Anolis sagrei: one gene and its partners. The protein of the gene in region 3 binds, or shares a complex with, the protein of the main gene of each other region. Links are inferred from orthologs where the notes say so. Each region holds a gene or a part of one and is shown on either strand. Other genes may lie near its edges.

Region 1 (7,673 bases), on a different chromosome or scaffold from region 3:
CATTAACATCATTGAGTGTAAACAGTATACAAAATAGAGAACATTTCACAAACACTTAAACCCACCACCAAGGCCTGAACAAGTATCATTTCCATGGCCATAAATATATGAATAGACAAATACACGTTGTTTAATAATAATAATAATAATAATAATAATAATAGATATCCTTATTTCTTGTTATTTGCCTATACTTCTCTACTATGGCAAGCTTTAACACATAAAATTCCATAATTACAAACTGATAGGATTATTTATTTATAGTATTTATATTCTTCCTGTCTCAGGGTGGATCACATTGAGCAGTTTCACCAGAGATCTATCTCTTTCCTACCCTAAACTATGCACTTTATTTCTGGCCCACGAATTGATTACTTGACATTTCTAAGGGTATCTCCTGCCTCAGTTCCTTTTAATCCGCACTTTCCACTGGCCCCAATCGGAAGTTATTGCATGAAAATGAGCCTGATCCCAGGCACATTTTAAGGCTGTTATCTCAGCCTTATTCTTTTAAGATGTTGTTTTGATTGTGTTTATGTCTTTGATTGTTTTAATGCTCCCTCACTGACAATGGACCTGGATGAAATTTGGCACACAGAACCCCCATGACCTAAGAAAAATAGTGGAGATTTTGAGGAGAATTCACCTTGATTTAGAACTGTAGTAGGTACTGGGATTTATAGTTCACCTGCAATCAAAGAGCACTCCAGACATCAGCAACAATGGCCCTGGACCTAACTTGGGACACAGAACCCACATGGCCAACAAAAAATGCATGAGGGTTTTGGGGGGAATTCATCTTAATTTATAGGAATTATAGTTCACCTACATCCAGAGAGCACTGTCAACGCAAACAACAATGAATCTGGACCAAACTTGGCATGCATACCCAATATGCCAAAATTTGAATACTGGTGAATTTGGGGTGGAATTGTCCTGGACATTTGTTAGTTGTAGGTTTGGGATTTATAGTTCACCTGCAATCAAAGGGCAATCTGCACCCCACCAATGATGGACCTGGACTTAACTTAGCACACAGAACCCACATGAGCAAAAAATACTAGAGGTCTTTGGGAAAATTCACTTTGATTTAAGGGAGTTGTAGTTCACCTACATCCAGAGAGCACTGTGAACCCAAACACCAATGGATCTGGACCAAACTTGGTACATGTACCTGATATGCCGAAATTTTATTACTAGAGGGGTTTGGGGGGAACTGACTCTTTCTTTCTGGGAGTTGTAGTTTACTCATAACCAGAGAAATAGTCATCTCCACTGATGATGGACATGGACCCAACTTGACACACAGAATTGGAGGGGTTTGTGGGGACTGATTAGCCATAGCGTGGGCTATGCCTCCCTTGTAAGATGCCCCGACTCCCTTCGGGGAGATGGTAGCGGAGTATAAAAATACAGTTGTTATTGTATTGTCGAAGGCTTTCATAGTTGGAATCACTAGGTTCTTGTGGGTTTTTTTGGGCTATATGGCCATGTTCTAGAGGCATTTTTCCTGACGTTTCGCCTGCATCTATGGCAAGCATCCTCAGAGGTTATTATTATTATTATTATTATTATTATTATTATTATTTACTCCTATCTCAAGAATGGGAAACATGGCCATACAGCCCCAACAACCTAGAACATGGCCATACAGCCCAAAAAACCTACAATAACCCAGTGATTCCAGCCATGAAAGCCTTTGACAATAAGGGAAACGTAAGGTTGGTGGACGGGAAAAGAGATTTAAAGATGGGCTTAAAGCCAACCTTTAAAGTTGTAGCATAGACACCGAGAACTGGGATGTCCTGGCCCTTGAGCACTCTAATTGGAGGTCAGCTGTGACCAGCAGTGCTGCAGAATTCGAAAAGGCACGAATTATTATTATAAACTTACTATTATGTATAATTATATGTGTCCTATATGTACAATTATATATGTCCTAAATGTACAAAAGAGTAAAAGGGAGAAACGTGCCAAGAGGAAGGCGTGTCAAGCCAACCCCGATCGGGACCACCTTCCACCTGGAAACCGATGTCCTCACTGCAGGAGAACATGCAGGTCAAGAATAAGGCTCCAGAGTCACCTACGGATTCACTACCAGGACATGATGCTTGAGGGGCCATCATACTCAGACAACTAATGATTGCCTAAATAAGTAAGTATTACTACTACGACTACTAAAATTCTAGATGGGACCCATAGGAGGACCATCATACTCGGGCTACGAGGGATTGCCTAACAACAACAACAACAACAACATATGTTTAACATATTCGTATTATATTACAATATTATAACAATAGTATTATATTGTATTACTATAGGTATTATAGTATATAATGTAATATCATTATCAATATCTTATGTATATACAATATATATTATTAGCCCAGCACTATATCAATATTATATATGTAGTATATGTACAATTATATATGTACCATAGATATCAGTATTATATATATATATACTATATGTACAATTATATATGTCCTATATGTACAATATCAGTATTATAAATGTCCTATATGTACAATTATATATACCCTATATGTACAATAACAGTATTACATATGTACTATATATATATCCTATATTTTAAATTATATACATGCTATATGTACATAATCAGTATTATATGTGTACTATATGTACAATTATATATGTACTTTATATACAATTATATATGTATTATATGTACAATATTAGTATTATAAACTTACTATTATGTATAATTATGTGTCCTATATGTACAATTATATATGTCCTATATGTACAAAATCAGTATTATATATGTACAATATATACAATTATATATGTCCTGCATGTACAATATCAGTATTATATATGTCCTATATGTACAATTATATATGTCCTATAATTATATATGTACTATATGTACAATATCAGTATTATATATGTCCTATATGTGCAATTATATATGTCCTATATGTACAATATCAGTATTATATATGTCCTATAAGTACAATTATATGTCCTATAAGTACAATTATATATGTACAATATATATACAATATCAGTATTATATATGTCCTATATGTACAATATCAGTATTATATATGTTCTATAAGTACAATTATATATGTCCTATAAGTACAATTATATATGTCCTATATGTACAATATCAGTATTATATATGTCCTATAAGTACAATTATATATGTCCTATATGTACAATATCAGTAATATATACGTCCTATAAGTACAATTATATGTCCTATAAGTACAATTATATATGTACAATATATATACAATATCAGTATTATATATGTCCTATATGTACAATATCAGTATTATATATGTTCTATAAGTACAATTATATATGTCCTATAAGTACAATTATATATGTCCTATATGTACAATATCAGTATTATATATGTCCTATAAGTACAATTATATATGTCCTATATGTACAATATCAGTATTATATATGTCCTATAAGTACAATTATATGTCCTATAAGTACAATTATATATGTACAATATATATACAATATCGGTATTATATATGTCCTATATGTACAATATCAGTATTATATATGTTCTATAAGTACAAATATATATGTCCTATAAGTACAATTATATATGTCCTATATGTACAATATCAGTATTATATATGTCCTATATGTGCAATTATATATGTCCTATATGTACAATATCAGTATTATATATGTCCTATAAGTACAATTATATATGTCCTATATGTACAATGGAGCCCCCGGTGGCGCAGTGGGTTAAAGCACTGAGCTGCTGTGCTTGTTGATCGAAAGGTCGCAGGTTCGATTCCGGGGAGCGGCATGAGCTTCCGCTGGCATGCCCTAGCTTCTGCCAACCTAGCAGTTCGAAAACATGCAAATGTGAGTAGATCAATAGGTACCGCTCCGGTGGGAAGGTAAGGGTGCTCCATGCAGTCATGCCAGTGGCCACATGACCTTGGAGGTGTCTATGGACAACGCTGGCTCTTCGGCTTAGAAATGGAGATGAGCACCAGAGTCCCAGAGTCGGACATGACTGGACTGTCAGAGGAAAACCTTTACCTTTTTATATGTACAATATCAGTATTATATATGTACTATATGTACAATGAGTATTATATAGGTACTATGTGTTTTACTATACCTCTATACTGCTGTATTATTAGTAATATTACGCATAATAGACAATTATTATCTTATTATATACTATTATATTGTACTGTGTTAGTAAACCACAATTCCTATAAGACACTACAAGTGTACTATTAGTATTATAGAATATATTGTACTATATCATGAGCTGTAGCATATATAATCTATTACAACATTATTCATATTATATACAACATTATTAGTAGTACATTACAATGTTATTACAATTCTGAGGAGAAATCTGTGGTCCAAGTTTCCCTCACGTTTGTTTTGGTCTTGAGGCGTGGAACACGTGACTAAGGCCAAGCCAGGCACCAACTCGAGAGCGCATGCGCAGTTTGAACAACACTAGAATCCTACGCTTTTAGGAGGAGGCAGCGCGCATGCGCAGAAGGCGGGAAAGAAGTAAAAAGGAAAGGAAGGGCCATAAGGAAGGAAGCCTGCCCTTGTTGGAGACTCAAGCTATTCGGCGGTAAGAGGAAAAGCCCAAGAAAGGTCGAGAGATAAAGGGGAAGTAATAATAACAATAATAATGGGTTGTTGTAGGTTTTTTCTGGCTATATGGCCATGTTCTAGAAGCATTCTCTCCTGACGTTTCGCCTGCATCTATGGCAAGCATAGAATCAAAGAGTTGGAAGAGACCTCATGGGCCATCCAGTCCAACCCCCTGCCAAGAAGCATCCTTAGAGGTAGTGAGGTCTGTTGGAAGTAGGAAAAAGGGTTTGGAATGACCAGGGTGGGACAAAGGACTCTTGTCTGCTGGAGCTAGGTGTGAATGTTTCAGCTGACCACCTTGAATGGCATATAATGGCCATGTTAGAGACTGGGAATATAGGGTGACAGGCCCAGAAGCAGAGAGGAGATGAGATTCCGATGGGGTTTTTCAACAAGGCTTTTATTTCAAGTTGATCAACATGAGATGAATAGCCTTTGACCATTCCCGGTCAAAGAACAAAAACTATTCACCCTTTGTGGCGCACTTAACAATGTTTTTAAAATCAAACTTGTAAGAACAACACGCAAGCAACTTCTGATTGGTTGTACTGTTTCTAACATCACAGCATGAGCTGTGACTTATCTATCTGCAAGTTGATTATCCAAGGCAGAAAGAATTTGTGGGAGTAAAGGAGTGCATCTGCTTGTGTCTGACTGAACAAGGAACACAGAGAATAATTATTCTTTCTCTATCAGCAGCCCTTGGCAAGCAAGGTTTTCTCTATAGACAAAGATTCTGGGACTTGTAATAATTGGAAATTTATTTTTCTTAATCATGTTCCTATAGCCTGACAGTGACTGGAGCAAACTTTTGTTGAGAGGTGATTAGATGTCCTTGATTGTTTCCTCTCTGTTGTTGTGCTGTTGTAATTTTAGAGTTTTTTAATACTGGTAGCCAGATTTTGTTCATTTTCATGGTCTCCTCCTTTCTGTTGAAATTGTCCACATGCTTGTGGATTTCAATGGCTTCTCTGTGTAGTCTGGCATGGTGGTTGTGAGAGTGGTCCAGCATTTCTGTGTTCTCAAATAATATGCTGTGTCCAGGTTGGTTCATCAGGTGCTCTGCTATGGCTGACTTCTCTGGCTGAAGTAGTCTGCAGTGCCTTTCATGTTCCTTGATGCGTGTCTGGGCAATGCTGCATTTGGTGGTCCCTATGTAGACTTGTCCACAGCTGCATGGTATACGGTAGACTCCTGCAGAGGTGAGAGGATCCCTCTTTATTATTATTATTATTATTATTATTAAACTTTATTTGTACCCCGCTAGCATCTCCCGAAGGACTCGATGCAGCTTACAAAGGCCAAGGCCTCAACACAACAACAACAAACAATAACAATACAATGCAAGCAAATTAAAACATAAGCAATAACACAACAAAACATTACACTATTACACAATAAAATCAGGGCCGGGCCAATGATGGGTACAGGTTAAAAATGTGCTGGGTGTAAGAGGTGATATGTTGGGATTCTGGGCAAGTGCAATGTGCAGAGAGTCTTAAGCTCTAATAAAGTGCTTCTGGGACGTAGTGCTGGAGCTTATACTATTCAGGAAAGGCACATCGGAATAGCCAGGTCTTCAAGTTCTTCCTAAAGACTGCCAACGTGGGTGCTAGTCTAATGTCTTTGGGGAGGGTGTTCCAAAGTCGGGAGGCAACCACAGAGAAGGCCCTGTCCCTCGTCCCCACCAAACGCGCCTGCGACGCAGGTGGGATTGCGAGCAAGGCCTCTCCGGATGAATGAAGTGAGCGCGTGGGTTCGTAAACGGAGATGCGGTCACGCAGGTAGGCAGGTCCCAAACCGTTTGGGGATTTGTAGGTAAGCACCTGCACCTTGAATTGGGCTCGGTAAGTAAATGGCAGCCAATGGAGCTCCTTAAACAGGAGGGTTGACCTATCTCTGTAAGGAGCACGAGTTAACATCCTGGCCACCGCCCGTTGGACCAGTTGGAATTTCCAAGCCGTTTTCAAGGGCAGCCCCACGTAGAGCGCATTACAGTAATCCAATCGAGAGGTGACCAAGGCATGGACCACCCCAGCCAAATCAACCTTGTCCTTTGCTGAACGTAGCATTTGTTGGATTTTCTTGGTGGGTCTGTAGATCGTTTGTATGTTGTATCAGCTTCCCTATGCGGTCAGTGGTTCCCTTGACGTATGGTAGGAACACTTTTCCTCTGGGTGGATCTTCGTCTTGACTCTCGTGGCTTGTTCCAGCTCTTCTGATGTGTCAGGTGGAGTCTCCATTGGCCTGTAGAGCCCAGTTTAGGTGGTTCAGTTCATCTTGAAGAAGTTGACAGAATCAATTTTTTTTGAGTGAAAAACATACATTGGGTTGTTAGGTGTCTTGTGTCCAAATTTGGTGTCAATTCGTCCAGTGGTTTTTGAGTTCTGTTAATCCCACAAACGAACATTACATTTTTATTTATATAGATGCCTTATTGATCTTTTGGAACACTACTTGCTTTCATGAACTTTTATCTTTTATTTTTCCATAAACTACAAAGACTTCCATCTGTGTGCAGTTTTGATGATTTCAGCAAGGTGAATCTACCATCCTCTGACCATCCTAAATCCTTGCTAACCCCAGTCACCATGAATCAAGCGGACGTTCAGCAGTTGCAGCAACAGATTCAAGCGCTACAGGCACAAATCGCTGCTTTAAGCCCTGTAGCAAAGATCCCGATGGCAATGCCGAACAAGTTCTCCGGGGAAGCCCAGCGGGTAAAAGACTTCGTGGGACAATGTGACGCCTTCATCAAGGTGCGAGTGGCAGAATTCCCCAATGAAGCAGCGAAAGTGGCTTTCATCTACAGCCTGCTTGAAGGGCCTGCGCTGGCTTTGGCTACGGCATTGCGTGAGGCCAACGCTCCCGTGCTGGCCACCGCTAAGGAATTCATGGAACATTTGCGGTACACCTGGGGGGGCCGAGTGGCCAAGGAGACAGCTGCAGCTGGGCTCGGCTCATCCCAGGATCGAAGCTGCAGAAAAGTCGAGGCGGCAGACCGCAGGTTGCGGGCTCTGTCGCAGAAGGAG
Region 2 (7,888 bases), about 13 Mb from region 3:
TGTTATTGATGTGTCATTTTGTATATTATGCTGTTAATGGTTTTTAAATTTTGTATGCTGTTGACTTTTGCTCTTGTTGTAAACCGCGTTGAGTCGCCTACAAGGCTGAGAAATTGCGGTATACAAGCAAAATAAATAAATAAATAAATAAATAGGGGGTGAGGAGGTCCCTCAGGTACTCCTGCCCCAGGCCAAATAAGGTCTTAAAAGTAAGAATCAGCACCTTGAAGGTAATCTGGTGCTCAATCGGCAACCAATGCAGTTGCTGCAAGATTGGAGTGATATGACACCTTGCTGGAACCCCTGTGAGAAGCCGGGCAGCAGCATTTTGCACTAGTTTAAGTTTCCGGATCACTGATAAAGGCAGGCCTATGTAGAGGGCATTACAATAGTCCAATCTTGAGATGACTGTAGCCTGGATCACCGTGGCCAGGTCGTCCCTGGACAGATAGGGAGCCAGACGCCTAGCCTGACACAGATGGAAAAATGCGACTCTGCTCGCAGTGGTGGCCTGGGCCTCCATCGTCAGCAGAGGGTCTAAAAGGACTCCTGAAGAGGACTCAAAGCTGCTTAACATAAAAGCATCTGCTCAGCCATTTAAAATACACAAATATACAAGCATTAAAACAGGATTAAATATAAATAGTATTTTAAAATTCCCAGTTAAAAATCATCATTTAGCCCTTTCTGCAAAGAGTGCTGGTGCAGACAACTCTAATGTTTCTATAGCATTGAGCCAAAGGAGACAAAAATTTTAATTGACCCTAGTGTGCAACAAGAGCAGGTCACAGGGTGTCTAATCATTTTAATGTCCATATGTTTTATATGCTTATTTATCACATTGTGTTATATTAATGTGTGCTACTCTTGAATTTTTATTTATTTATTGATTTACTTCATTTATACCTGGTCTTTCTCACCACACAGGACACAAGTAAAATTCATATGCTCATGCTTATTATGACATGTTTTATCTTGGGTGCTTTAATTTGTTTGATTTGTTATGTGTCTTATTACCATTTATGCTGTTATTTTACTGCAAGCCACTAAGAGTCCCTTTGGGAGATGGGGCGGGATGTAAATAAAGCTTCATTCAAAGTGGTGTCACACTTGCACCAATTTTGCAAGGTGGTAGATGCACCCCGAGTTTCCTTAAAATGTGACCTGAAGTGCAGGATCTGGAGCCCACTTCCTTCTAGAATCACAGAGTTGGATAAGACCACATGGGACAGTCAATCCAACCCCCTGCCAAGAAGGAAAATCGCATTCAAAGCACCCCCGAGAGATGGTCATCCAGCCTCTGTTTAAAAGCCTTCAAAGGAGGAGCCTCCACCACAGACCGAATAAGAGAGTTCCCCTGCTGAACAGCTCTCAGTTTGAAAGTTCTTCCTAATGTTCAGGTGGAATCTCCTTTCCTATAGTTTGAAGCCATGTCCTAGTCTCCAGGGCAGCAGAAAACAAGCTTGCTCTCTCCTCCCTATGACTTCCTCTCACATACTTATACATGGCCATCATGTCACCTCTCAGCCTTCTCTTCTGCAGGCTAAACATGTCCAGAAGCTTATTCTCCAAACCCTTGATAATTTTAGTCGCCCTCTTCTAGACACATTCCAGCTTGTCAACATCTCCCTTCAACTGCGGTGTCCCAAATTGGACACAGTATTCCAGATGTGTTGTGACCAAGGCAGAATACAGGGGTAGCATGACTTCCCTGGATCTAGACCAGGGGTCTTCAAACGAAGCCCCTGGGGCTGGATACGGCCCTCCAAGGTCATTTATCTGGCCATCAATTTGGGTCAACCTAAGTCTGAAATGACTTGAAAGCACACAGCAGCAGCAACAATCCCATGTCATTAGCCAAAAGCAGGGCCACACTTCCCATTGAAATACTAATAAGTTTATATTTGATAAAATTGTTCTTCCTTTTAATTGTTGTATTGTTTTTAAGCGTTTTGCACTACAAATAAGACAAATAAGCCCCGGCTCTAGTTTTACTGTGCCACAGTGTATTGTTTTATTGCTTTGTTGCTATTGCTTTAATTGTTTTGGTTTGCTTATGAGTTGTGTGTATTGCTATGTTATTGTTTTATTGAGGGCCTTGGCCTTTGTAAGCCGCATCGAGTCCTTCGGGAGATGCTAGCGGGGTTAAAATAAACTTAATAATAATAATAAATAATGTGCAGTGTGCATTCATTCATTTTTTCCCTCAAATTATAATCTGGCCCTCCAACAGTTTGAGGGACTGTGACCTGGCCGACACTAGACTCTTATTGATGCAGGCCAAAATCCCACCTGCTTTTTTAGCTGCCACATCACATTTAGCTGCCACATCTATGAAGGATCTGGCTGGATCTACACTACCAAATAACGCAGCTTGGACGGCATGTGGATTCCGCCCTACAGCCTCATTACATTGGAACATGAATTCACTTGAAATTCAGTTTCTGCCTTCTTCGGAATTGTAGTGTTTGTAGTTTAGTGAGGTCCTGCCTGGCTGAGCAGTTTAGAGGTCCCTCCTTAAACTACAAGCCCCAGAATTTTACAAGAGGCAGTAACTGGATTTAAAGGGGATCCATGCTGTGGTGTGATGAGGTCCCAGGATGGTGCTGATTATCCCTGCTGGCCTTCTGAAGGCATGTCTTTGCCAGCAGGCCTTGCCTTGGATGACGTGCTCGGGGGAGATGGTCTTCTTCTCGGACTTGTTGCAGATTTCGTTGGCCTCGGAGGAGACCAGGTGGATGAACTCGGTGCAGCAGTTGACCACCAGCTCCCGGGCGTCGTTGGCCACCCGCACGTTGGGCAGCGTCTCCTTGATCATCTTGTTGATGGCCGCCCGCGGGATGGTCAGGTCGTCGTCGTTCCCGGACGAGGAAGCCATGCTGGGCCAGGGAAGTGCCGCTCGAGGAGCCGGGCGGCGAGGGGAGCCCAGGGGCCCGGCGCCCGCCTCCTCCTTCCTCCTGCTTCTCCTTCTGCTTCGCGTGAGGGCCGAGCCCACAGGCCCCGGAGGCGGCCCCCACTCACTCACTCCTTCCCTCGGCCCGCTCTTCAGTCGCGGCAAGGAACAACAGAGAAGGAGCTCGCGGCGGGCAACCAGCCCAAGCTGCGGCGCCCAACACTTCCGGCGGAAGCGGCCTTTCAAGGCCTACTCTCTTTCCGCTTCCGGTTGGGCCCGGAAGAGGCCGCTCCTCCCCTCCTGCCTAGAAATGCTTCGAAGCGAGGTTCCTCCAGGCCCCGCGGCCCCCCCTAGAGTTCTTAGCCAGTGAAAATGCATCCTGTCTTTGGGCTTCTAAAAATGTCCCTTGTTGAGAGGTTGTCAGCGCCAGCCGGTGAGCTCGCCAGCCTTCCAACGGAGACAAAGAGACTGAGAAAGCGGCTCGCGCATGCGCGGCGGCATCATTCTCGTTCTATTTCACTCTTCTTCCGGTTGGGCACTCTAGGAGTCTTGCAATGGGTTCCAGTGGTTCTCAACCTGTGGGTCCCCAGGTGTTTTGGCCTACAACTCCCAGCAATCCCACTCAGTTTACCAGCTGTTAGGATTTCTGGGAGTTGAAGGCCAAAACGTCAGGGGACCCACAGGTTGAAAACCACTGGTTAAACCCTTGTGCCGGCAGGACTGAAAACTTGACAGGTCGGAGGTTCAAATCCGGGAAGAGCGCGGATGAGCTCCCTCTGTCAGCTCCAGCTCCATGTGGGGACATGAGAGAACTCTCCCATCAAGGATGGTACAACAACAAAAACATCCGGGCATCTCCTGGGCAACGTCCTTGCAGGCAACCAATTCTCTTACACCAGTTTCTCAAGTCGCTCCAGACATACACACAAGATACCTTCTTTCATTCACTGGAACACCGCAGCAAGTGAGAGTCCACAAGTGGCAGGCTAAAACCCAGGGTAATAGTATGAAAGCTGGGTCCGGAAGCTCTGAGCCTTACGCTCTTTCCGCTTCACTCCTTGCGCTGTTTGCTCAACGCAGAATGGAACATAGTTATTATAAAAGGAATGTAAGAATTCTTCAATGGTACAACCCTTACCTGAACCCTTAGCCTAACCCTTAACCCTAATCATAACCCAAATCCTAAACCTTACCCTAAACCTAACTCCTAAGCCTAATTCTAACCCTAATCCTGGATCATGTTTTTAGTTATGAGATGCCAGTGGATGGTTATTGTTGTTAACTGTTTAATGTGTTTATGATGTTAATTGTTTTTATATACCGTGTTGTAGCATTGAATTTTTGCTGTTCTTGTTGTTAACCGCTGTGAGTTGCCTAAGGGCTGAGAACAGCGGTATACAAATAAAGTAAATAAATAAATAATCCGAACCCTACCCTAAACCTTACCCTAATCCTCCCCTCCTTTCTATCCTTCCACCAAACTGAAGTATATTCTCGCCCTCGGTCTGCCACCCTCCCCTTTCCTTATTCACAACCGCCGTTGCGGAATGTGCATAACACTCGGAGCTTCCGGACCCAGCTCTCATACTATCACCAAACCCAGAACCTCAATCCATGGCTGATACCAGACGAGAGACTACCTCCTGGGCACACAGAAGACTGGAAGGTGCTGAATAGACTGTGCTCTGGCACCATGAATTGCAGAGCCAACCTTAAGAAATGGGGCTACAAAGTGGAATGCTGGTGAGGTTGGGGGGGAGGGGTTGATTTTATCATTTGGGAGTTGTAGTTGCTGGAATTTATAGTTCACCTACAATCAAAGAGCATTCAGAACTCCACCAACAATAGAATTGAACCAAACTTGGCAAACCAGGACCAACAGAAAATACTGGAAGGTTCTTGTGGGTTTTTTCGGGCTGTAGGGCCATGTTCTAGAGGCATTTCTCCTGATGTTTCGCCTGCATCTATGGCAAGCATCCTCAGAGGTAGTGAGGTCTGTTGGAATTAGGACAATGGGTTTATATATCTGTGGAATGGCTGGGGTGGGGCAAAGAGCTCTTCTCTGCTGGAGCTAGGTGTGAATGTTTCAACTGACCACCTTCATTAGCATTTGAAGGCCTGGCTGAGCCTGGGAAAATCTTTTGTTGAGAGGTGTTAAGATGTGCCTGGTTGTTTCCTCTCTGCTGTTTTGCTGTTGTAATTTTAGAGTTTTTTAATACTGGTAGCCAGATTTTGTTCATTTTCATGGTCTCTTCCTTTCTGTTGACATTATCGACATGCTTGTGGATTTCAATGGCTTCTCTGTGTAGTCTGACATGGTGGTTGTTGGTGTGGTCCAGCATTTCTGTGTTCTCAAATAATATGCTGTGTCCAGGCTGGTTCATCAGATGCTCTGCTATGGCTGACTTCTCTGGTTGGAGTAGTTTGCAGTGCCTTTCATGTTCCTTGATGCGTGTCTGGGCGCTGCATTTGGTGGTCCCTATGTAGACTTGTCCACAGCTGCATGGTACACGGTAGACTCCTGCAGAGGTGAGAAGATCCCTCTTGTCCTTTGCTGAACATAGCATTTGTTGGATTTTCTTGGTGGGTTTGTAGATTGTTTGTATATTGTGTTTCCTCATCAGCTTCCCTGTGTGGTCCGTGGTTCCCTTGATGTATGGCAGGAACACTTTTCCTCTGGGTGGATCTTCATCTTTACTCTCGTGGCTTGTTCTTGGTATCTGATAGACTTTCAGATGAAAACTGGAGCAAACATTTCCCCTGTTGTCTAGAGCAGGCCTCTTCAACCTGCAGGCCTCCAGCTGTTTGGGCATCCAACTCTCAGAAGCCCTAGTTCAATGTTCAGGAATTCTGGGAGCTGAATTCAAAAACACCTGCAGGGCATCAAACTAAAGAGGCTTACTGTAGTGGTTAAGAGATTCAGATTATCAGAAAAGAGATGGTAACTTAACATCAAGAAGAACTTCCTGGTGGTAAGAACTGTTTGGCAGTGGAAGAGACAACCCATCACTCTATGATGTGTCTGTGAGACATTTTGCTCTCCACCCTGCCTTATTGTATGTCAAAAATAAAAACGTTGATGGAAATGTGGTGCCCCTTGAGCAGTTTTAAGAAAGTTATAATAAAACATTATGCTGTATACTGACATTGTTTATTCCATCCTTACTGACATACACATCCCTCTACTATGTTTCTAAAACAGCAGGCGCACAACAGTTACCACAACAGTTTTATAGAAACAGTGGTCATAAGTATAACACAATTAAAATAGAGGGAAGTTATTGGACACATATGCTTCCCAACCAAAAAATAATGTTTAACAAAATCCGATAGTAAACATTTTCCTGGGGTGTACTAGCTGCTAGGAGAAATTAGTATAGTCAAATGTTTGCCTAAGTGAAAAACACCCCTCTCTTTGACAATATATTTTTCTATGGAATTTCTTTTCAATGGGGAAGCATTCAGGGTACAATTATCCTTCCATAGGTTTTGACATGAGATAGAACAAACCAGGAAAGCCTTAATAATTTAATTCTCTTGCCTTGAGAAGCTGTTATCTCAACCTTCATGAAATTGTCATTGAAGAAGCAAATTAAACTTTATTTTTAAAGACTGCTATTCAATTTACAAGTACTGTACATGAAAATGCTTATTAGAAAAACATTCAAATGGTCCAAGTGACAGATCTGTGTTCATAAATGGAATGAAACTCAGAAAATTATATCTTCTGGTGGTGACAGGGCTTTGCTTAGGAAAGGAGTTAGGAATGTGTGGTCTTTTTGTTATCAAAGGACTTTGGGCCCTTCCAGATAGGCCCTGTATCCCAGGATTTAATCCTATGTTTTCTATTTATCCCAGATTATCTGGCAGTGGGGAATCATATAATTCAGGTTAAAGCAGAAAACCTGGGGTCAGATCCTGGGATATAGGGCCTGTCTGGAAGGGCACTAAGACTCCTGACCTGCCTCACAACTGTCTATGCTGTTAGGGTATTGCAATCCAGCTACATCTAAAGTGCTACATATTTCCCATTCATACTAAGATGCTATAATTTGAAATATAGATTAATTTACAGACACTTCACATTATTTTAGGTTTCCCTCATCCCAGTGACATAGAAAGCAGCAAGTGAAATAGCCCACAGCAACATTTCTTCACTGAGAAGATCTTTCTCCCAAGTCAAAGCTTTTCCTGCTTTTCCATCTCAGCAATTTAATGAAATTAAGACTTGCACTGAAAATTTTATCGTGCTGAAAAACCATTTTGTAGAAGGTCTCAATTGGCAGGTCTCCATTGGGGTCAGCGTACTTCAGCGTTGTAATTGGAGTGTATAAAGTATTGGTCTGATGACGAAAAGGTGGGTTTTCTGACAGAATTATCTTCATTGTATGCTGTTGGGATGATAAACAAGAGAATTAGGAACCATACATTGTATTGCTAACCAGCAGTACAAATGAACATCCCCACATTGTTCCAGATAACAATAAAAGTGTGTGTGTGGGGGGGGGGGGGGGGGGAAGCATGAGATAGCTATTTGCCCTGGTACTGCTTTTCTGATTGCAAGAATGTCATTCACTTTGAGTTTATTGTGAAGCAGAGAGAGAAAACTTTTGCAGCAATTCACTGTTTTAATTGCTGAAAAAACATTTGAAAAGAACACTATGAGACCATTATTTTTTAAGAAGTTGGAGGTTACAATTCTAAATAAATTACGATAATCTTTGAGGATGCTATTACTATTTCTAAGAGAGATAAACCTCCAAACGTATTCCAGCTGTGCTGCAGAGCTAGAGACTTCATAGTTCCCAGCTAGACAAATACCCATGGCTTTGTATTGTTTCTACTTATCATTAAGAATGCTGTAGCACTCTTTGCCCTTACATTTCATTGCATACTTTTAAGACATTACCTCTGCTATGTCTTCAGCAGTTTGCCCCAGTGTCTGGAAAATTTGCTTGTAATTTTTCAGGTAAATATTTACAAACATATCAGCTG
Region 3 (7,267 bases):
TTAACCTGAAGAAGAGAAGGCTGAGAGGAGATATGATGGCCATGTATAAATATATGAAATGATGTTATAAGAAAGGGGGAGCAGGCTTGTTTTCTGTTGCCCTAGAGACTAGGACGTGGAACAATGGCTTCAAACTACAAGAAAGGAGATTCCATGTGAACATTAGGAAGAACTTCCTGACTGTGAGAGCTGTTCAGCAGTGGAACTCTCTGCCCCAGAGTGTGGTGGAGGGTCCTTCTTTGGATGCTTTTAAACATAGGCTGGATGGCCATCTGTGTGTGTGTGTGCTTTGAATGCAATTTTCCTGCTTCTTGGCAGGGGGTTGGACTGGATGGCCCATGAGGTCTCTTCCAATTCTATATTCTACTAGCCATCCCCTGCCATGCATTGCTGTGACCCACATGGGGGTTCTGGGTGGGAGGTTTGGCCCAATTCTATCATTGGTGGAGTTCATAATGTTTTTTGATTGTAGGTGAACTATAAATCCCACCAACTACAACTCCCAAAAGTCAAGGCTCTATTTTCCCCAAACTCCACCAGTGTTCACATTTGGACATATTGAGTATTTGTGTAGAGTTTGGTCCAGATCCATCATTGTTTGAGTCCACAGTGATCTTTGGATGTAGGTGAACTACAACTCCAAAACCAAAGGACACTGCCCACCAAACCCTTGCAGTATTTTCTATTGGTCATGGGAGAACTGTGTGCCAAGTTTGGTTCAATTCAATTGTTGGTGGAGTTCAGAATGCTCTTTGATTGTAGGTGAACTATAAATCCCAGCAACTGCAATTCCCAAATGTCAAAGTCTATTTTCCCCAAACTCCACCAGTGTTCATATTTGGGCATATTGAATATTTGTGCCAAGTTTGGTCCATATCCATCACTGAGTGCACCATGCTCTCTGGATGTAGGTGAACTACAACTCCAAAACTCAAGGCAATGCCCACCAAACCCTTTCAGTATTTTCTGTTGGTCATGGAAGTTATGTGTGCCAAGTTTGGATCTATTCCATCGTTGGTGGGGTTCAGAATGCTCTTTGATTGTAGGTGAACTACAAATCCCAGCAACTACAACTCCCAAATGACAAAATCAGTTTTTTTGAGTGAAAGACATACATTGGGTTGTTAGATGTCTTGTGTCCAAATTTGGTGTCAATTCGTCCAGTGGTTTTTGAGTTCTGTTAATCCCACAAACGAACAATACATTTTTATTTATATAGAGAAGAAGATAAGACGATCCTAAGTTTCTCTTCTCAGCACTTGTTTAAAAAAGAGCAGTGTAGAAGCCCCGCCCCTCAGAAACGGGGAGGGGAGCAAAGGGAGGGAGCAATCTTACTCGGCGCCCTGCAAGCATGCGCATTAGGGGGCGCGCGGAAGCACGCATGCGCAGATGAGCCGCCATGTCGACGGCCTCCAAAGTGGTGCTGGGGGCCTCGCTGCTGCTCTCCGGCGGGGTCGTGGCGGGCGTCCACCTCCAGCAGAGGCGCCTGCAAGAGGTAACGGCGCGCGGTTTCCCTAGTGACGTCATCCCCAAAGGTGCTAGAAGCCTTTTTTCCGCCTCGCGCGCGGCGGAAGTGCTTGCTTCCCTGAGAAGAGACTTTGAGAGGCCTCTGTAGAGGGCCCAGCCTTGCCTCCCTTCCTTTGGCGCTGTATTGGCATGGCACCCTTTTCAAAACCATAGCTTCCACATGAAGTAACACCAGAATTAGAAGAATGCCAGAACTTCAATGTGTTTTGGAAGGGAGAGTAGATAGAATAGAGTCTCTGAATAGATAGAGAGTCTCTGAATTCCTCTCACTTCCACTAGATCAGTGGTTCTCAACCTGGGGTCCCCAGATGTTTTTGGCCTACAACTCCCAGAAATCCCAGCCAGTTTACCAGCTGTTAGGATTTCTGGGAGTTGAAGGCCAAAAACATCTGGGGACCCCAGGTTGAGAACCACTGCACTAGATTATGAGGCAAGAATATAGCATTAAGTAGAAGCAAACCACTAGAGGAGTGGTTCCCAACCTTTGGTCCTCCCAGTGTTTTGGACTTCAGCTCCCACAATTCCTAACAGGAGCAGTGGATTAAACCCCTGTGCTGGCAGGACTGAAGACCAACAGGTCGCAGGTTCAAATCCGGGGAGAGGAGGGTGAGCTCCCTCTATCAGCTCCAGCTCCTCATGTCGGGACATGAGAGAAGCCTCCCACAAGGATGATAAAAACATCAAATCATCTGGGCGTCCCCTGGGCAACGTCCTTGCAGACGGCCAATTCTCTCACACCAGAAGCGACTTGCAGTCTCTCAAGTCGCTCCTGACACGACAAAAAGAAAAATTCCTAACAGCTGCTAAAATGGCTGGGATTTCTAGCAGTTGAAGTCCATAACACCTGGAGGATTAAAGGTCGGGAACCACTTGCACTAGAGAGCTGCTTGGCATCATTTACTACCAAGTCGGAAATGACAAAGGCCCCTTCTAAAATGCTGATGGCGAGTTCGCCCTAGACCCCTGCTTTCCAGCTGATCTGACCATATCATCCAGTTCAAAGCAGATAATTTGGATTTTTTATCTCTCCAAATAATTTTTATTAAACACTAGCTGTACCCGCCACATGTTGCTGTGGCCAACCTTCCCTCCTTTCTCTCCTCCTTCCTTTCTCTTCCCCCTTCCTTTTTCCCTCCTTCCTTCCCTTTTTTTCTTTCATTCTCTCCTTCCATCTCTTCCCTTCCTCCCCCCTTTTCTTTCCCTTCCTCTTTCTCCCCTTTCTTCCTTCTCTACCTATTCTTGGACTACAACTCCCAGCAGTCCTCCTGTTCAATCTATCTACCTACCCATCTTATCCATCTCCATCTACTCAGTCTACCTTATCTATCTGGATTATTGCTGGGAGTGGCAGTCCAGGAATAGGAAATTGGAAATATGCAGGGATTGGGATGCTCTCAAAGAAATCCAAGGAGAAGAAAGCTTTCAGCTTGGAAGCAGTGCATTTGGATCATCCTCCTCTCCTAAAGGGCCTGGTCTAGGGGATGCTGGGAGTTGTAGTCCGGAAGAGAGTGTGGATATGCTTTTATGTGTTTTGTTTTCCAGGGGGAGTCGTTTTGCGCATGCGCTGTAGTGTCTTTTTGCTTCTTTTGGCTTTAAAGTCCCTTCCGCTGTGTTTTTCAGTGTTTTTATGAGTGATGGTCACTTGTTGGCCTAATAGGTGTATTGTGTCCAAATTTTGTGTCAATTCGTTCAGTGGTTTTTGAGTTGTGTTAATTCCACAAACAAACTTTACATTTTTATTTATATAGATTTACTAGATTAGATTGTTTTTACAAATAATAATGATTCTTGGATAGTTTTCTCTGTTTAATTTGTAAATTGTTTATATACTTATTAGTATAACATAAATTATTGTTTGGCTGCAGGGCAGTTAGCAACACTTGAAAACTTATGTTAGTTGCTAGGAAAAAGATAGCTCAGTCTAATTTTTGTTTTTCAACACAACTTGAGAAGTTTCACTGTGGGGCGTTCTTTCCAATATCATTTTTCCTGTGAAGTAAAAATGATCATATCCTTCTTTCAGAGGCTACGCGAAGGAGTGTTGAGAGACTTTGAGAGACAGAATCATAAACAAGAATATATTAACCTTTTGGAGGAACGTTCTGCCTTGATCCAACAACGTGAAATGGAAAGCAAAATTCAAGTGCTCAAAAAATGCTAACAGTGACGGAGAAGAATTGAAATTGAAATTTCCTGGTCCTTTCAGTAATTGCATAGGTTTCTTGATGGTTGAGATAATCTTCATATGTCTAATGCTATTAGCAGAGGAAGCTTCTAGCATACCAAAAAAATCCTCTTTTAAGAAACAATGGATAATAGTATGTACATAAGTGAAATGATGAGTTGTCATGATGATGAAGCAACAAGGACGTCCCCTTCAGAAGGACTGGAAGAAGGGGAAGTGGAAGGGGAGACTCTTCTCATAGTGGAATCTGAAGATCAGGCATCAGTGGATTTGAGTCATGATCAGAGTGGAGATTCTGTGAATAGTGATGAAGGGGAAACATCCTGGTCAGAGGAGCTGTCCTATTATTGCGAAAGATGCCAGAAATGGATAGCTGCAAGTAAGAATCCCTTATATTTAATTTTTGTGGTTTTCAGAACTCCAGGTTTATTCCCTTTTTGTCTGTCTGCCTGTCTCTCTCTCTCTGTATTTATGTGTATGAAAATGATGTATGTGTTTCTCTGTCATTTGAAATACAGTCCATCTAGAATATATGGTTTATGGTTAAACCTTCATTGTTTAATGAGAGTAACAACTATGCAAATGGATTCGTACAAATAAAATTAAAATGCTGAACAAATTACGTCTGCTGTGGATGGTTTTTCCCCTCTCCTCCAGGATATATGCTAAGCTGCTACAAGTTTTGGGCATCATTGCTGTCTTGCTCTGTTTGCTGATAAGAGAAAACCGACTGCTTAGGCTTTAACTGTTGAGCAGTTATGATCATAGTCATTATGAAGTTAAATTCCTTGAAGCCCCACATTCAAATCTAAGGTGGTTCTTTCTGTATGCAGAGACTGGTCTGTTATTGCTCTCAGCTGTAGTATTTGCACTGTGTAGGATCTTATTCTAGAAATTCATCTGTGTCCCTATCCACACTGACAAGTTAATGCAGTTCAAAACTAGCTAGACAACAAATGGCCATGAAAGCTAGCAAAAGAAAGCCCTTAATGCATATCAGTGCTCTATGGTTTGTGTAATCACCATCTGAGCCTCAAACTGATTCCAGGATTTTCTATGTAATCATCTGCAGAGCAAAGCCACTTTTTTGATACCAGTTTGAAACTGCATTAAATGGCTTTTGTAGGTGGGGTCCTAGATTCATGGAGTGGTGGTATCTGCTGTGTAAAGAGAAGCTAGAAAAACTCCAGCATGCACCATGATTTTTTTGGACGTTGATTGCTGATTCTAAATAAGCCTCATAATCAGTACAATATAAATAGTGACACAGTTTGTTTCAGTACCAGGCAAGAAATCCTTCTACAGGTTTCTGTCTTTGAACGCCTTGTTTTCTGATATGTTGCTCTTTCAAGGCTTGCAAAATTACACACAAGTTCCAGTAATTTGATGACAGGTCCACTGTTCTATCACATCTTGTCTATGAGGTTAACTTGGGACTGCTCATATATATGTTACACTATACTGTACTGAGGAGCCCCTGGTGGCACACTGGGTTAAAGTGTGAGCTGCTGAGCTTGTTGACTGAAAGGTCGCAGGTTCGATTCCTGGGAGCGGCGTGAGCTTCCGCTTTCAGCTCCAGCTTCTGCCAACCTAGCAGTTCGAAAACATGCAAATGTTAGTAGATCAATAGGTACCACTCTGGCGAGAAGGTTACGGCGCTCCATGCAGTCATGCTAGCCACATGACCTAGGAGGTATCTATGGACAACACTGGCTCTTTGGCTTACAAATGGAGATGATCACCACACCCAAGAGTCGGACACAACTGGACTTAATGTCAAGGGAAAAAAATGCTGCAGTCAGAATGCACTTGTAAGCTACCCCCCCCCCCTCCCCCGGGTTCCACTTCCCAACCAATTCCACTTTCTGACAGTGTTGTGGTCCTTAGACTATCAAATAAGTGAAAGCCTCCTGTACTAATTATCTGTTGATTCCCTGTCATTTGTTTAGTTACATACTGGTATGTAACTAAACAAATAATAAAAGTCATGAAGCTTATGGATTATGATCTGATTTTTCTAAAAATATCTAGCCTTATATATTTTCAGGGTGTTCAATAGTATTTCAGTCAGTATTTCTTACAGTTCAGCAAAAAAAGGTTAAAGTGTTCAGATTTTCAAAAGGCAACCTGCTTAGAGTCAGTATTTCTGTCAATCTTTTAATGCTAATAAATTGAAATGTAATTAAAGCATAAATTATTCAGTCTCGTTAGTTTCTCTTAAGGAGCAACATATCTAGTAAGAACCTTCTTACTGAAGTCAGGGGATCTCCACTCTGATAGAATGCAATGTGCAGTTTTACAGTTTATGACAAACCTGAAGCCTTTCCTTGCTTGTTTATAGGTCAGGTGAGAGAACAGATCACCCATCTCAAAGGTGATAACTTTTTCAAGTTTACTTGCTCTGATTGCGCTGAAGATGGGAAGGAGCAGTTTGAACGGCTAAAACTAACATGGCAGCAAGTAAGTAGCAAACAAGCAGTAATGGAGTAAGAAGGTTTCAAATTTCTGTGTAATGATATACACTGGGGATCTTTTGTTTGTTTAGTGAGATTCTAGTGATTTTGTTAAACCTATGCTAACTTTTTGATGCAAAGGCAAAAAGAAGTGATTTTTGAGCTAGAGCAGTTCAAAACTCATTACAAATATAATCCTTTCTTAACATTAAAAGACACAGCTATGAACATGGAAAGTGGCATTATGCCTTGTAGCCCAGTGGTTCTCAGCCTGTGTTTTGGCCTTCAACTCCCAGAAATCCTAACAGCTGGTAAACTGGCTGGGATTTCTGGAAGTTGTAGGCCAAAACATCTGGGGACCCACAGGTTGAGAACCACTGTTGTAGCCCCATGTTCCTTCAAACACTCTTGTGCCTATATAATGAACCATGCTGGTTGTACACATTATGTTAGCAAGCACTCGGTTTAATCCAGAATTGACTACCTTCTTCATTTTTAATAATGATAAGAAATAATAATAATAATAATAATAAAACTTTATTTATTGACCGCCCTCTCTTCCCGAAGGGATTCAGCGCGGATCACAAGAAATAACAAAAGTGGCAAACATTCAATGCTAGAAAACAAATAAACAAAATTCAAGGCAAAACATACAAGAAAATAAACTCAGTGTAACTTATAAACAATCAAACCAAGGATTAAAATACATAAACTTCATAAACACAAGATGTCGACCAATTAAAATACAGTACATTAAAAGCATTGTATAATGTAGCATATCGTCAGGTGTCCTATGTGTGGACGAGATATACTAGTCCTCCTCTCCATAAACTAGATTACAGAGATGGGTCTTTAAAACCTTTTTAAAGGAGATGAGAGAGGGGGCCATTTTTAGTTATTTGGGGAGGGAGTTCCAGAGATGCGGAGTGGCGACGGAGAAGTTCCCTTCTCTCGTTCCCACCAACTGTGCTTGAGACGGAGGTGTGGGAACGAGAGCAGGGTCTCCTCCGCAGACTGCAGTGCTCATGTTGGTTTGTACGTGGAGGTGCGATTTTTCAAATAGTCTGGGCCTGAACCATTTTGGGCTTTATCAGTAATAACC
Region 4 (8,193 bases), on a different chromosome or scaffold from region 3:
CTAATATGCTTCTTGGCTGCTGAAAGAAGGTCTCTCACATTGACACAGAAAGGACCATTTTAAATCTCTCATAAAAGGACATTATGTGAATTGATCCCACTGATCCCATTGTACATATGTTGTTCTGAACTAAGAATAAATTACTTGTTCTTTATTGTTCATCTGCGTAGCATATTTTCTTTCTCTAGCAAGGCAGTGTGTGGGCTGATAAAAAAGTGGTTTATTTTACATTCTGCCATAGGTTATGGGCCCAGTCTCATGCCACAGTGCCACATCTGCTTGTGCCAGTGCCACTGCTAGAGTTATTTTAAAAGGACTGTAGTTAAATATTTCTTGATCAGATGTGAACTACACATGGTTTATTTTACATTATGCCACAGAGTTGGCTATTATAATATATCAAATACAAACTGTCATCATATGGGGTCAAATGTAGTCAGTTGTTCAACAGGGAAGATATAGGGCATTCAGTTCAGGGTAGACTATAAGAAACTGTAGCTCTCAAGGATTTGCTTTACTAGATCTTTCAATGTCAGATTTAAAACATTTTAAGTAACATCCTCTCCCCCTTTGCTAAATAAAATAAAGCAACTGCGGGGGGAAGGGGATGGGTGGAGACGGGACCAAGTGGGTCACTGTTTTCACACTTTGTGCTGTTAATATTGGGAAGTAATTTATGTTATTGCAGACAGTAATCAAAGTACCTGTTCAAAATACCAAATTTACTTTTGTATCATCTCCTGATCTCTATCAATGTATTTCTTCATTTATGTAGATAAAGTTTAAAACACATTTCAAGATATATTTCCCTTCTATAAAAACATTTAAAAGTGTATTTTAATGGCATTGATCCAGTTGTTTGTCTGTTTGAAATACAAATAAGAATAAATCACCCTGGCTTTTTGAACATTGGAGGAATTTAAAATAAATCATTTCTTCTGGCTGTTTCTTGCACCTGACTTTCTGGGCTGGATTTTATTTCTTTCCGTCGTATTTTTTTCAATGGCTGCTTCAGTCAGGATAAAAAGCTGAGTCATCTAGTAAAGTGTTGCACATGCTACAGATAAATCTGTACATGCTGCAGAAAAACAACAGCTACTGACAAAAATGTTCTAGTGTCCCTATTTTAAGAACAAACAGGACTAAACCACTTTGGGGTGTCTGAAGTGATCATCAGAAATCAGCCCAAGACATGACTACCATTGAACAGTGACTATCTGCATGGCCTTCCAGATGTTGTTCAACTCAATTCCCAATAGCCACAGCAGCATGTTCACTGGTGATGGCAGTCCTAGTCCAATGTTTGGAAAGCATTAGAATGGATACAGGTTGGGTCCTCCTTATCAAGAATTCCAAAATTTGAAGTAATCTATAACTCTCTATATAGGTGACACTTTTGCTTCCTTTCTCTCTTTTATATATATGTGTGTGTGTATGTTATACAATTTACGAAGACAATAATTTCTCCGTATATGACTTATTTCAAGACTTCTGAAGCTTTTTGCACTCGTGACCTCTTTCCACCTGAGAAATTTTTACATGATCCTGAATAATAAAGGTAAAGGTTTCCTCTGACATTAAGTCTTGTTCAAAGACACCTCCAAGGTCATGTGGCTAGCATGACTGCATGGAGTGACATTACCTTCCCATAAAAGCGGTACCTATTCATCTACTCACATTTGTATGTTTTTGAACTGCTAGGTTGGTAGAAGCTGGGCCTAACAGCAGGAGCTCACTCCGCTCCCCGGATTCAAACTGTCAACCTTTTAGTTAACAAGTTCAGCAGCTCAGCAGTTTAACCCACTGCGCCACCAGGGGGTCCTGAATACATAGTTATAAAAGACAGGTATAAAAACTAAACATTTACTGATAAAACGCTTGCTAAATACGGTGATTTTTCTTTTTGTGGAGTCCAGTGGATGCATTTCTGCAGAGTCACTGCAAACACTGCAGATTTCTGTAAATGGGCAGCCTTCAGAAAACTTTTACTGTTACCAGATTTTTCATGGCCCCAACACTGAGCTAAGGAGACCTCATTTGGGTTCTGGACACAGTTCAAGAAGCAGTGTGGCTTATATTACTGTAAACCTCAATTCAAACTAATTTCACCCACCCTCCTAGCAAAAAACAATGATCAATTAATAAAATTGAAAGATTAAAATGGACTTTTCCACCTCAAAGATACATAATTAAAATACTACTGTTACTGTATTGCATTGTATTATCTTAGACAGATTGTTCATTATATCTTGCTAACTCAGTGTTTTATGACTAATGGAACGGCCCTGGATAATGATTTGGATTGTGTGATTTTAATTATGTTTTAATATTTGATGTTTTAACTGTTTGGATTTTAATATATTCACTTGTTTTATTGATATGTATCTATGTGGCATTGAATTGTTGTCTTTGTAAGGCCGCTCTGAGTCCCCCTTCAGGGTGAGAAGGGCAGGGTACAAATGTAGTAAATAAATATGATAAAAAGTACCTTGGTATGTTTCACATTTTCATCACAAATTGTTAGTGTGCCTGTACATTCTCTTTCCAGCCTGGTTGGAGTCAGGTACCATCCGTACATCATTTCATAGATATTCTATTTCAAGTCAAAACTTGGAATATTTTTACATTCTTTTGACCATATTGCCATCCCACCTCTCCAGCCCAATTTTTTTGCCCATTGAGTCAAACATTTTTCTTTCGTTCTCCCTTTTAATTCTATTTTCACAAACTTTTCAATATACACAGTTTGACACCACTTTAGTGGCATGGCTGGAATCCTGGGAAGAACCAGCACTCTTTGACAGAGAAGGCTCAAGACTGCACCGGGGATTGTGGGCACCGGGGATTGTGGCGCAGCTGGCTGAGTGTCAGCTGCATGAAGATCACTCTGACCAAAAGGTCATGAGTTCAAAGCCAGCCCAGGTTGGAGTGGGTTTCCAACCAATTGTGTAGCCTGTTGTCGACTTTTGCAACCTGAAAGACAGTTGCACCTGTCAAGTAGGAAAATTAGGTACCACCTTAAAGTGTGGGGAGGCTAAATTAACTAATTTATGAGGCCATACAAAAAAGACTCCAGCAAAGCACTCCAGCAAAGAAGCATGCGGGGAATGCGGAAGTGCTTCATCAGCGTCGCAGATGGACAATGAAAGCGACAGCTCCCCTGGCAGCCAGAAAAAGTTAAATAGCCTCTGTCTATGTCTGTATATGTTGTATGTCAAAATTGGCATTGAATGTTTGCCATATGTGTACACTGTAATCCGCCGAGTCCCCTGCGGGGTGAGAAGGGCAGAATATAAATGCTGTAAATAAATAATAAATAAAGTACAACTCTCATGATTCCACGTAGAACAAAAGCTGCTTGCAGCCACTTTAACTGCCATGTCTTAATGCTATGGGGTCCTGGGAGTTCTAGTATTACATGCTCTTTGGCTTTCTTTCGCAAAGAGTGTTGGTGCTTCACCAAACTGCAACTCCCATGATTCCATAGCATTAAGCCATGGCAGTTAAAGTGGAGTCAAAATGCAATAATTCTGCAATGTAGATGCATCTATACAAAGGTGGAAGGGTAATTATCTTATAAAACTGCAAATAACATAATTCCACAGCATTGAGCCATGGCAGCTAAAGTGGAGCCAAAATGCAGTAATTCTGCAATGTAGATGCACCTATAAAAAGGTGGAAGAGCAGGTTAGTTAGCTTATAAAACTGCAATTCCCATTTTTTTTCTCGTGTCAGGGCAGCCAGTCAATTATATTACATTTCTAACAGAACAAAGCAAACAAACAGAGAAAATACAAAATGTGTGAGTTTGGTAGTTGATTAAATGTCCTTTGACCAGTATCTGGCCACTTGGAGTGCTTCTGGTGTTGCTGCAAGAAGGTCCTCCATTGTGCATGTGGCAGGGCTCAGGTTGCATTGCAGCAGGTGGTCAGTGGTTTGCTCCTCTCCGCACTCGCATGTCGAGGATTCCAGTTTGTAGCCCCATTTCTGAAGGTTGGCTCTGCATCTTGTGGTGCCAGAACATCTGTTCAGCACCTTCCAAGTTGCCCAGTTCTCTGTGTGTCCAGGGGGGAGTCTCTCATTTGGTATCAGCCATTGGTTGAGGTTCTTGGTTTAAGCCTGCCACTTTTAGACTCTCACTTGCTGAGGCGTTCCAGCAAGTGTCTCTGTAGATCTTAGAAAACTATGTCTGGATTTAAGTCGTTGACATGCTGGCTGATACCCAAACAGGGGATGAGCTGGAGATGTCTCTGCCTTGGTCCTTTCACTATTGGCTGCCACTTCCCGGCGGATGTCAGGTGGTGCGATACCGGCTAGACAATGTAATTTCTCCAGTGGTGTAGGGTGCAGACACCCCATGATAATGCGGCATGTCTCATTAAGAGCCACATCCACTGTTTTAGTGTGGTGAGATGTGTTCCACACTGGGCATGCATACTCAGCAGCGGAGTAGCACAGCGCAAGGGCAGATGTCTTCACTGTATCTGGTTGTGATCCCCAGGTTGTGCCAGTGCCCACTTTTTGCTTGATGTTCAGGCAGTGCTTCTTGTAGGTAAGAGCACGGTCCAGAGTGACTCCCAGGTATTTGGGTGCGCTGCAATGCTCCAGTGGGATTCCTTCCCAGGTGATCTTCAGAGCTCAGGATGCTTCTCTGTTCTTGAGATAAAAGGCACATGTCTGTGTTTTAGATGGCAATTCCCATGACTCCATAGCATTGAGCCTTTGCAGTTAAAGAGGAGTAAAATGCAATCATTCTGCAGTGTAGATGCACCCATAAAAAGTGAAAGAGAAGGCTGATTAGCTTATAAAACTGCAACTCCCATGATTCCATAGCACTGAGCCATGGCAGTTAAAAGTGGCATCCAAGTACAAGCCTGCTGCAGCGTAGAGCACCCAACTTCCCTTGCGCATGCGCGTTCCAGGAGCCAGGGCCTTTAGAACCTTCCTAAATCCTCAAGCCATTCCACGCTGGCCGTCAATCTTGAGCCTGGAGGGGGCGGAGCAAAGGGCGGGCTCTTGGAACGGAGGGAGCGCTGTCGTCATCGACGCGCGACCACGTCCAAGGGGGCGAGGTATGGCGAGGGTTGCCTTGGCGCTGAGCGGCTGTCATGGCGTCCACCGGGGAAGGGAGCTGCTCTGGTGAAGCCGAGGCCTCCGCCCGGGCGGGGAACTCCTCCGAAGAGGCGCTCCGAGAGATCCTGAGGGACTCCCTGCGTGTGCTGCTTCGGCTGGCAGAGGAGGTGAGTGGGCCGAGGGGAGCCGTGAGAGAACAGGCGGCGGAAAGGGGAACCGGGCTGGAAGTTGAGGTGGGGAAGGGGAGAAGCGGGCTTTGGTTGGCGAGGGAGTTTAACAGGCCCCATTCTAAAGGTGCCCCAGACCCTCTTTGCTTGATTTGCAAAATTCTGGCTAGTATTTCGAGTGCTTTTTTCCCACAATTTCACTGGATATCCCAGGCAGGGGCCAACTTGGGCCCTCCGGGTGTTTTGGACTTCAACTCCCACAATTCCTAACAGCCAGTAGGCTGTTAGGAATTGTGGGAGTTGAAGTCCAAAACACCCGGAGGGCCCAAGTTGGCCCCTGCCTGGGATATACACTGCCATATAATGCAGTTTGCGCATTACATTAAAGGACATCAACATTATAGAATGATTGCAGTGTGACACTACTTAAACCAATCATGGCTCAATGCTATGGAATCATGAGAGAAGTAGTTTCAAAGGTCTTCAGCCATCTCTGCCAAAGAGTGCTGTGACCTCATGAAATTACAACTCCCATCAAGCCAGGGCGGTTAAAGCGATGTCAAATGCATTAATTCTATAATGTAGATGGCCCCAAGGGCCTCCTGATGGTGCAGCAGTTTAACCACCAAGCTGCTGAACTCGCTGACCGAAAGCTTGCTGGTTTGAATATGGGGAGTGGGGTGAGCTCCTGTTGTTAGGCCCAGCTTCTGCCAACCTAGCAGTTCGAAAACATGCAAATGTGAGTAGATGAATAGGTACTGCTTTGGTGGGAAGGTAATGGCCTTCCTTGCAGTCATGCCGGCCACATGTCTTAGGAGGCATCTACAGACAGCATTTCTAAGCTCTTCGGATTAGAAATGGAGATGAGCACCACACCCCAGTCAGACACGACTAGACTTAATGTCAAGGGAAAATCTTTATCTTTACCTTTTTTGGATGGCCCCATTTGTACAGTTTCAAGCCAGTATTGAAGACACTGGTTTCAGCTGTGCTGATGCTTACATAGAAAATTTTGGAACCAATTTGAGGCCTGGATAGTGATTGCACAAACCACTGGTGCACATTAAGGGCTTTCTTTCACACACTTTTGCAGTAGCTTGTGGTCTGAGACTAGCCTCAAACTACATTAAATTGCCAGCATAGTTTGTTTTTCAAGGGTGGCTGTTGCCATGTGCATTCAAGCAATTTCTGGCCAAATGAGACTGTTAGGCAGTGATTCTCGACCTGTGGGTCCCCAGGTGTTTTGGCCTACAACTCCCAGAAATCCCAGCCAGTTTACCAGCTGTTATGATTTCTGGGAGTTGAAGGCCAAAACATCTGGGGACCCACAGTTTGAGATCCACTGCCCTATCACACAGTTTTCTTGACACAATTTGTTCAGGAGAGGTTTGTCCTTGTCTTCCTCTGAGTCAGAGAGTGTACGACTTGCCCATGGTTGTCCAGTGGGTTCATGACTATGTAAATTCAGAATTATCTTAATTCTAAGTTGCATCCTTCCTATCTTGCTCCATTCAATGGAGTTTTGAGCTCTAGTTTTGTGTATACATAAGAAATTACATCTGTCTCCCTGGACATACTTCATCATTTTGCAGAAGTGACCAGTCTTGCACCCTAACTGTGCTAGAAAGAAAACTCTGAAGTTTCACAAGGCATCTGATAGGAATAAGGAATGTGGATCATTGGAAGTAGAAATTGTACAAAAATGGGAAATACAAACCTTGTGATAAAAGCTTGAGTATCCCATTGTCTGAAATGCTTAGGACCAGAGGTGTTCTGTATTTCAGATTTTATCTGGAGTTTTCAATACTACCATATTCATAATGAGATATCTTGGAGATGAGATCCAAGTCTTAACACAAAATTCATTGTTGTTTTGTATATATCTTACACAAATAGTCTGAAAGTAATTTTATGTACCATATAAAAATGTTCTTGAAGCAAACGTTGGTGTATATTAAACCATCAAAGTCAGGGTGTCACTATATCAGCCATCCATGTGGACAGTTTGGGATTTTGGAATACTTCAGGTAGGGGATGCTCATCCTGTAAATGGTGTGAGGAAACTAATGTCAATAGGAATTTTCAGTGCAATAATTACATAACGTTTTACTCAGGAAATTACCATCTAAGAAATCAGATGGAATGCATAATAAATTGTAATATAGTAAAAGCAATCAGGAAATATAATTTAAAGTTAGACCAAGTAATTTCATGGAATAACTATGAAAATAATTTTAATCCAAGTTTATGCTCCCAATTCTGTTGGTAGAAAATAAAAAATCAATGCAATCTATGCAGGCTTTCAGGAATAAATCAATCAGACATATTGATCATGGGTGATTGAATCTCAGTGGGAAGAAAAAGAGGAGAACCAAGCATTTTTGGCCTAGAATAAAAAATGAAGCAGGAGAGGGACTGATGAAATTTTGTGAAGGCATCGGGCTTTTGTTGTTACAAAGACATTATTTAGGCATTTGAAAAGATTTATACATGTACATTATTGTATGACTAATACTGAATTAAAAATGTATAATTGGAAGGAGAAAATGGAGAGGCTCAATTCTTTCTCCAAAAACAATACTAGGAACAGATTGTGACACAGGCCATGAACTGCTAATATCAAAAATTAGAGAAAACGTAATAAAATGCATTAAATCAATTGTAATCTATATATATAAATCTGTTAGGTTGGTTCAACGGGACAGCAAAACTCCACAACCCCCCAACGGAACTTAACCAAAATTCCCATGCCCATAACACAACCCACAAGGTACAAACATATCTACTCAAAATGAAAAACAACACAACAACACACTCACAAAACGGCAAAACAACAAAACTCAAAAAAACCCCAACGAAACTTAACCAAAATTCCCATGCCCATAACACAACCCACAAGGTACAAACGTATCTACTCAAAATGAAAAACAACACAACAACACACTCACAAAAC

The links.
Region 1: KAT14 (region 3) and TADA2A share a complex: the UniProt entries of both Homo sapiens proteins name them as parts of the ADA2A-containing complex. The link is inferred for Anolis sagrei from reciprocal best matches to the Homo sapiens genes KAT14 and TADA2A.
Region 2: KAT14 (region 3) and DR1 share a complex: the UniProt entries of both Homo sapiens proteins name them as parts of the ADA2A-containing complex. The link is inferred for Anolis sagrei from reciprocal best matches to the Homo sapiens genes KAT14 and DR1.
Region 4: KAT14 (region 3) and MBIP share a complex: the UniProt entries of both Homo sapiens proteins name them as parts of the ADA2A-containing complex. The link is inferred for Anolis sagrei from reciprocal best matches to the Homo sapiens genes KAT14 and MBIP.

What each region holds. Positions count from the first base shown.
Region 1 is NC_090031.1:23,921,608-23,929,280, forward strand, and holds the start of TADA2A (transcriptional adapter 2-alpha), read left to right. Parts: upstream 1-4,549; 5' UTR 4,550-4,618; intron 4,619-7,673. UniProt on the Homo sapiens protein: Component of the ATAC complex, a complex with histone acetyltransferase activity on histones H3 and H4. Required for the function of some acidic activation domains, which activate transcription from a distant site. Binds double-stranded DNA.
Region 2 is NC_090024.1:145,862,417-145,870,304, reverse strand, and holds the start of DR1 (protein Dr1), read right to left. Parts: upstream 3,395-7,888; 5' UTR 2,879-3,394; coding exon 2,659-2,878; intron 1-2,658. Other genes in the region: FNBP1L (formin-binding protein 1-like), read right to left, coding at 7,803-7,888. UniProt on the Homo sapiens protein: The association of the DR1/DRAP1 heterodimer with TBP results in a functional repression of both activated and basal transcription of class II genes.
Region 3 is NC_090024.1:133,210,957-133,218,223, forward strand, and holds the start of KAT14 (cysteine-rich protein 2-binding protein), read left to right. Parts: upstream 1-3,835; coding exon 3,836-4,091; intron 4,092-6,053; coding exon 6,054-6,172; intron 6,173-7,267. Other genes in the region: protein PET117 homolog, mitochondrial, read left to right, coding at 1,400-1,495, 3,551-3,688. UniProt on the Homo sapiens protein: Component of the ATAC complex, a complex with histone acetyltransferase activity on histones H3 and H4. May function as a scaffold for the ATAC complex to promote ATAC complex stability. Has also weak histone acetyltransferase activity toward histone H4.
Region 4 is NC_090021.1:301,829,477-301,837,669, reverse strand, and holds the start of MBIP (MAP3K12-binding inhibitory protein 1), read left to right. Parts: upstream 1-5,025; 5' UTR 5,026-5,108; coding exon 5,109-5,240; intron 5,241-8,193. UniProt on the Homo sapiens protein: Inhibits the MAP3K12 activity to induce the activation of the JNK/SAPK pathway. Component of the ATAC complex, a complex with histone acetyltransferase activity on histones H3 and H4.